2 linked regions of the Ovis aries genome follow. The protein of the gene in region 1 purifies or fractionates together with the protein of each later gene. This does not show direct contact. Links are inferred from orthologs where the notes say so. Each region holds a gene or a part of one and is shown in the gene's direction. Other genes may lie near its edges.

Region 1 (3,749 bases):
TGAAATATTGAGGTTTTCTCAGCAGGTAAAGTATACATTCTTACAAAGTTTCAAATTTCAGAAGTCCAGTAATGCATTTAAAGTAAGCACCCATCGAATCGTGTTCTCTCTTCTTTGTGTGTGTGTGCGTGTGTCTATTATCTTGCTGTTCTGTTACTTAAAGTCAATTTTAGGCTTTTTACCTCCACAGAAATACCTTAGTGAACCCTCGGCAGTTACTAATCACTTAATAACTGTGAGCCGGCCAGCCCCTTCAAGTAGATCGTTAACCACAAGAGTGCCAGACAATTTCCAAATCATATCCTCCGTCCAAAAGGAAAAGATAGGGCTTTGTGAGGCCGAAAGGAAGCGAAGGAAAACAAAACAAATGTAGCTCATGCTGAAAGTGAAAAGTGCTTGGACAGATTAGTATTTTCTTTTCTGCAAGGCGTCCTGCCAATTTTTTTAAATAAAGTTATTTTTTGATCTGACTTTTCAGTTTCTTGAAAAGTGTTAGTATTTACCATCCCCACCGGCCCCTCATGACTATTATCGGTCGTTTTGTGTTTTCCCCATCTGTCTACATCACTGACTGCTGAAACCCCCCGCCTGCCTCACTCTGTCAAAAACCCCAACTCTGGGCGACCCTCGGTTTGGTAACTCAGCCGACTGCCGACCACACATCCCACTCTCCCTCTCACGCCTCCTATTTTAGTCACCCCACTCCAGTTGCAGCGAAAGCCGGAAATTTTCATTTAGCTCCCCCCTCTTTCTCGCCCCCCACTCGGAGCGGAGAGCCGGGGAGCCGGAGGCTCAGAGCACAGCCGGGGCTCGGCCGCCTCCCCTCTCTCCGGAAGGCTTTAATTTGCACACTCGCTGGCCACTGAGCGGCGAGCCCCCCACCCGGCCGCCGGGAGGGTCGCGGGCCGCCGGCCTCCAGGGCCCCCCACCCCGCCCCCGCCGCCTCCCCGGCTCGGGCCCCGAGCCCGGGCCGGAGCCCCGCGGCCTCCGTCCGCCCCCAGCGCGCCGCGCGGGCGGCGCCCTCCGCCGTCCCTCCGCCCTCCGCCGCAGTGCCCACCCCCTCGCCCGAGCGAGCGCCGCTAACTCCTTCCTCGAGCCGGTTTACCTGCTCCGCGCCGCGGCGGACACGTGCGAAGGTCGACCGGTCCCCGCAGCCCCCTCGCGAGGCCCGCCGCGGCCGGGCCCCTCAGGTGAGGCGCTGTGCGCTCTGGTGGGTGGGCGGCAGGGTGCAGGGTGGGGGGGTGGTCCTTGGGGAAGACTTGGGGGCTTGGCCCGGGGTCGGCGGCTAGGGTGGGTGGGGGTGACTGGGGCGGGGAGGGGGGGCGGTAGGTTCTGGGAATCGGCTTTGGTTAACCCCTTACGATCCGAGGAGGGGTGGTTACAGGGGCCAGTTTCGGGGGAGCTACAGGAGTTTCTCCTAATCTGACTAGAGGGAAACATCCCACACGAGGGACTCCCCCCAACGCCGAGCTCCTGTGCCTGCTCGCACACAGCCTTGCGCACAAACACCCACACAAACACTTCTTATCCAGTCCTTCAAACGGAACTCAGGCTCCACTGGGAAACTCACCGAGAAATTTACATTCAGGGTTTAAAATGCACTGCTTTGGGGAACCTCACGCGGGAGAGAATGTGTTTCGGTGCCTTGTATTTATTTCCCCACGAAAGCTCCCCCTCCATCTCGCCGAGGTGTGGGTGTGAGCTCCACCTTCCCCACCGCGAGATAAATGTTAACGCAGACTTCTTGCTGGCAGCCCCCGCGGGCGTGTTCTGCACTTAAGAGAGGAGTACACGCCGGCGGCCAGTGCCCAGGCTGGAAGTCCCCCCGCAAGGATGGACGCTTGCTTTAGTTTCCTAGTTTACTTTCCTAATTTAAAATATCGTTAAAACGCACGCCCCCGGGGTGAACACCTCCTGGCCCGAGCCCCGCGCCCGTCAGTGTGCACGTGGGCGCATCTGCGTGTGTGTACACGCGGGAGTCGTGGTCCCCCGGGGCGGCCTCTGGTCGCCGCGGTGGTGGCGACCCTTGCGGTGCTTGGCAGGCTTCGGGAGAGGCACATGAAGGATTTCATTGAGTGTGAAGACAGAGAGCAGAGACAGAAAGCAGAAGGAGGCGGCTGCAGCCTTTGTAGTCGCGGAGGAATGCGGAAATGTTGAAGCACTCTGTCAAACTTTTTTGAAATGGGGTCAAGTCACATTCAGCCAGCGTGGGAAAGCAACAACAACAACAAAAAAAGTGGACGGGGCGGGGGACGGGGGGAGGCACGGCTGCTCCCGTTTCTCTCCGCCGGAGCCGACAGTCCGGGGAGCGAGGGGGGAGAGCCGGGGCGGGCGGTGCGGGGCCCGGCGGGGGCGGCGGGCGCAGCTCCCTGCGGGGGTGGGACGTCCCCGCCGCTTCCTTCGCCGCCGGGCGGCGGGCAGGACTGGGGCTGGGAGGGGGCCTGCGGGAGGGGGCGGGCGGCGCCGCTCGCCGCGGCTCCTCCGCTACCTGTGTGGCCCTCGGCCTGGCTCCGACCGCTGGTTCCTTGGCTCAGGGGGCTCGTTCCTCGGCCCCCTTACCCAGGACTGGCCTTCACCTTTTAAGGAGAATTTTGAATGGAGAGAGTGTGAGGGGCCCGGTGCTCTCCGCGGTCCCCTCCGCCCGCAGACCGCAAGGGTCGCGCAGTCTGTATCTTTAATTCCTGGCGGAAGGCGAGCGAGCCAGAGGTTGCGGGGCAGGTAATTCCGAGGAGCTCCGGGGAATTTCGGACAAGCAGTCGGAGCGGCGAATGTCCGGCGGAGGCCACAGCGTTGGTGGAGCAGAGGTCCCCTGGGTCCTGGATTGCAGCTTGAATGGGAAAGAAGAGTGCGACCCCCCCCCCCCTTCGCCGCTTTGTTGTGTGTGTGGGGTGAGCTCCGGGGGTCACTGGCTGCTATTCGGATCCGACCTTAAACTGGAAGGGGAGTGGAGCAACCTCTGCTACCTACTTCGGGAACAACCCTGGGAGTGGGGAAAGGTTCTCGAGTCCTGGCCCCGGGGGCGCAACCCCTTTTCGCTTTCCCCTGGAGGCTCAGCCTTTACTCCCCCCACCCCTCACCCTATTTAAGGGGAAGCTGAGTTTTGCTCAGGTTGCAATCGGTTGAAAAATTCAAGGCAAGTGACGATTATGCCGCTTTGCTTCTGAAGTTGTTCTCCAAGGAGACGACAAGCTGAAGTGCGGCGAGCACCTCTTTATCCCATTCTTAGGGTTCCGTAGGCGACTTCACCCGCCCCCTCGCCCCCGCCGCCACACCGCGGGGGGAGGCATCGCTCACCCACTCCGGAGTAGCGGGAGCTCCCGCCCTCTCGGATCTGATGGGTTTCCACCAGGGAGGTCTTCCCAAGTAAGAGGAAGGATTCCGTTTCCAACCCAGACTCTTTTACCTTAAAAAGACCATTTGTGTGTCGTTTTTAAATGTCTCCTCGTAGAAAAACTGAAAGTAGAAAGAAAGGAAGCAATTTCCGAGCAGATGTCTGACCACCCCTTCTCGCACACTCGCAGCATCGGGTTACAAAGGTCCTGGGAGCCCCCACCCACATTCTGCGGCCGCACTCAGGCGGACCCGAGGTCTGTCCACACCAGGCTGCGCACGACCCCAGAACGCCCCCACGGCACCCATGGAGCCCCTGTCCCCTGACGTCCAGGCCCGGCAGGCAGGGAGCGGAGCAGCGCAACACAATGATACAGGGAAATATTAAGCCGTGACATTGACGTGCCCGGCGCCTCCCC
Region 2 (3,332 bases), on another chromosome or scaffold:
AGGATGATAGTGGCAAGGATAAGAAAAAGAAGACAAAGAAGATAAAGGAGAAGTACATTGATCAGGAAGAACTGAACAAAACCAAGCCCATTTGGACCAGGAACCCTGATGACATCACCCAGGAGGAATATGGAGAGTTCTACAAGAGTCTTACCAATGACTGGGAAGATCACTTGGCAGTGAAGGTAAGAAGTCTTGCTTGTTGGCTCAGTAGGAGGAGCTGATATGGACAAATGGAACTTACCCAACTGGTTGGTAGCTGGGAACTGTGAATGCTATGAGTTGATTTGCTAATGGACCCTTCCAGGGTGGAGAAGTGACATCTTCCCCTGTGACCTGTCTCTGGTGGCTTTACCCACCTGGAGTCTTTGACCCAAAGATGATATAGTGCTTGCAGTTGGATTCATTTAGGGCATTAGGGCTTAAATTTTCTCTACAGGGATAGGAAGTTTTTGTTTCAAATAATTGGACATTTTGGTATTGGGACCAAAAGCCACTCTTGAGTACACAGTCAGCTTATCTTGGATTTCTTTCAGCACTTCTCTGTAGAAGGTCAGCTGGAATTCAGAGCACTGCTGTTCATCCCCCGTCGGGCTCCTTTTGACCTCTTCGAGAACAAAAAGAAAAAGAACAATATCAAACTGTATGTCCGCCGTGTGTTCATCATGGACAGCTGTGATGAGTTGATTCCGGAATATCTCAGTGAGTATCTTTTTGCCCTAATGTAGTTCGTTTCTGCGTTCTCGGGGGCTGGAGTCTTTATCTTAGATTAAGGATCCTCTGCAACCTAACAAGTGAAAGTTTGGTGAGAAAATCAGTCTTTCTGTTGAATCCAGATGACTTTATATACCTTTTATCTTTATCCCCGCCACTCCTGTATCTTTAAAACCCAGCTTCCATATTTTGATTTCAGACTTCATCCGTGGGGTGGTTGACTCTGAAGACCTTCCCCTGAACATCTCCCGAGAAATGCTCCAGCAGAGCAAAATCTTGAAGGTTATTCGTAAGAACATTGTTAAGAAGTGCCTTGAGCTCTTCTCTGAGCTAGCAGAAGACAAGGAGAACTATAAGAAATTCTATGAGGCATTCTCTAAAAACCTGAAGGTAAGCAGCAAGTACTTGCTTAATAATTAGAATGGATTTTTTTTCATTCACTGAGAGGATAAGTTATTTCCTAACAAAATTATTTTTTTCCCCTACCCATAAAGCTTGGAATCCATGAGGACTCCACTAACCGGCGACGCCTTTCTGAGCTGCTGCGCTATCACACGTCCCAGTCTGGAGATGAGATGACTTCTCTCTCAGAATATGTGTCTCGCATGAAGGAGACCCAGAAGTCCATCTATTACATCACTGGTACGTTGGAACCTAGGTCTGATAAAAGCCTTTTTTTAGAGGTGTGGGGCAGACACTCAAGGGTCCTGGGGAACTGGCAGGATGAGGCATTTTGGCCCTTGAGTCACACTGAGTAATCCTACAGGTGAGAGCAAAGAGCAGGTTGCCAACTCTGCATTTGTGGAGCGCGTGCGGAAGCGGGGCTTTGAGGTGGTGTACATGACGGAGCCCATCGACGAGTACTGTGTACAGCAGCTCAAGGAGTTTGATGGGAAGAGTCTGGTCTCTGTGACCAAGGAGGGCCTGGAGCTGCCTGAGGATGAGGAGGAGAAGAAGAAGATGGAGGAGAGCAAGGCAAAGTTTGAGAACCTCTGCAAACTCATGAAGGAGATCTTGGATAAGAAGGTGGAGAAGGTAAGCCGTTGTGAAGCAAAGTTATCTTGTTAGCGATGCCTTCAGAGTGGTTTCCTCCCATCTTTGGCTGCTACAGTTAGTGGTTTAGGCAGCTTAATTTGCTTAGTGCCACCCTACTTCTTGTTCTCTTAAGGTTGGTATTTCTATAGAACTTACCAAAGATGACACTTTTCCCCAAAGAGTAGAGATGAGCATCTTTGCCTTGAGGAGGTAATTCGATTCAGTACAATGAGCTTTTCTGCCTACCCTCAGGTGACGATCTCCAACAGGCTCGTGTCCTCACCCTGCTGCATTGTGACCAGCACCTACGGCTGGACCGCCAACATGGAGCGCATCATGAAAGCCCAGGCACTGCGGGACAACTCGACCATGGGCTACATGATGGCCAAAAAGCACCTGGAGATCAACCCTGACCACCCCATCGTGGAGACCCTGCGGCAGAAGGCAGAGGCGGACAAGAACGACAAGGCCGTCAAGGACCTGGTGGTGCTACTGTTCGAAACTGCACTGCTCTCCTCTGGCTTCTCGCTTGAGGATCCCCAGACCCACTCCAACCGTATCTACCGCATGATAAAGCTTGGCTTGGGTGAGTACCTTTGTCCTCTCAAGTAGCAAGGTGTGTCAGGCGCTTTTGAAGGCTTTTGGGGGCCTACCTGATGTGGTTTCTTTCCTCTTAGGCATTGATGAAGATGAGGTGACGGCAGAGGAGCCCAGTGCTGCTGTTCCTGATGAGATTCCCCCCCTTGAGGGTGACGAGGACGCCTCTCGCATGGAAGAAGTAGATTAGGAGTTTATACCTGCAGACTGCTCCCTCTGTATAGCGTCCCCATGGCTCCTGCAGCAGCAGCCGCCCTTGTGGCCCTGGCCCATGTGGTTCCCTCTGCTGACGTCTAGTGGTTTTATTTCTGTCCTTCTAAGGCAGGATACATGGGCCTCACGCCCGATTCCTCTCCACGTTTGACATGGGGTTTGAATGTTGTGTGTTGTGTTTTGTTTATTTTGTTCTGAAATTAAAGTATTGAAAATAAAGAAGATGCAGGTTTTTTACACAGTTCTGCTCTCGTAGATTTAAGTATATACAGTGCTGCCTTTGGAGTTATCCTGTATGTATCCCTTTACAAATCTTAGCCTGCCATCATTCTGAGTAGATAACATGGTACATAAAGTGAAAGTCAGTTCAGCCATGTCTGCTCAGTTTTGTCTTGAGTCTTAAGACACCTGTGGACTATACAGTCCATGGAATTCTCAAGGCCAGAATATTGGAGTGGGTAGCCATCCCCTTCTCCAGGGATCTTCCCAACCCAATCCAGGTCTCCTGCATTGCATGCAGATTCTTTTTATCAGCTGAGCCACCAGGGAAGCCCAATTGTGATACATAGGAAGATATTAAAACCATCACGGGTAAGTTTAGAAGCCATAGAAACAAAATGAGAGAGAGTCAAAGAGGGAGAAAATAATTGCACATGAGGCAACAGACGTAAGCTGAATTTCCAAAATAGCTCGTTCAACTCAATCCAATCAAAAAACAGGCAAAGAACTAAATAGACATTTCTCTTAAAACATAGGTGGCCAGTAGATAAAAG

Evidence for each region.
Region 2: the proteins of CDK6 (region 1) and HSP90AB1 purify together in Homo sapiens (co-immunoprecipitation; 4 studies listed by BioGRID and IntAct, with this or other methods). This does not show direct contact. The link is inferred for Ovis aries from reciprocal best matches to the Homo sapiens genes CDK6 and HSP90AB1.

What each region holds. Positions count from the first base shown.
Region 1 is NC_056057.1:10,942,843-10,946,591, reverse strand, and holds the start of CDK6 (cyclin-dependent kinase 6), read left to right. Parts: upstream 1-1,048; 5' UTR 1,049-1,190; intron 1,191-3,749. UniProt on the Homo sapiens protein: Serine/threonine-protein kinase involved in the control of the cell cycle and differentiation; promotes G1/S transition. Phosphorylates pRB/RB1 and NPM1.
Region 2 is NC_056073.1:17,737,514-17,740,845, forward strand, and holds the end of HSP90AB1 (heat shock protein HSP 90-beta), read left to right. Parts: coding exon 1-185; intron 186-536; coding exon 537-702; intron 703-913; coding exon 914-1,104; intron 1,105-1,208; coding exon 1,209-1,356; intron 1,357-1,480; coding exon 1,481-1,749; intron 1,750-2,001; coding exon 2,002-2,335; intron 2,336-2,426; coding exon 2,427-2,536; 3' UTR 2,537-2,800; downstream 2,801-3,332. UniProt on the Homo sapiens protein: Molecular chaperone that promotes the maturation, structural maintenance and proper regulation of specific target proteins involved for instance in cell cycle control and signal transduction. Undergoes a functional cycle linked to its ATPase activity.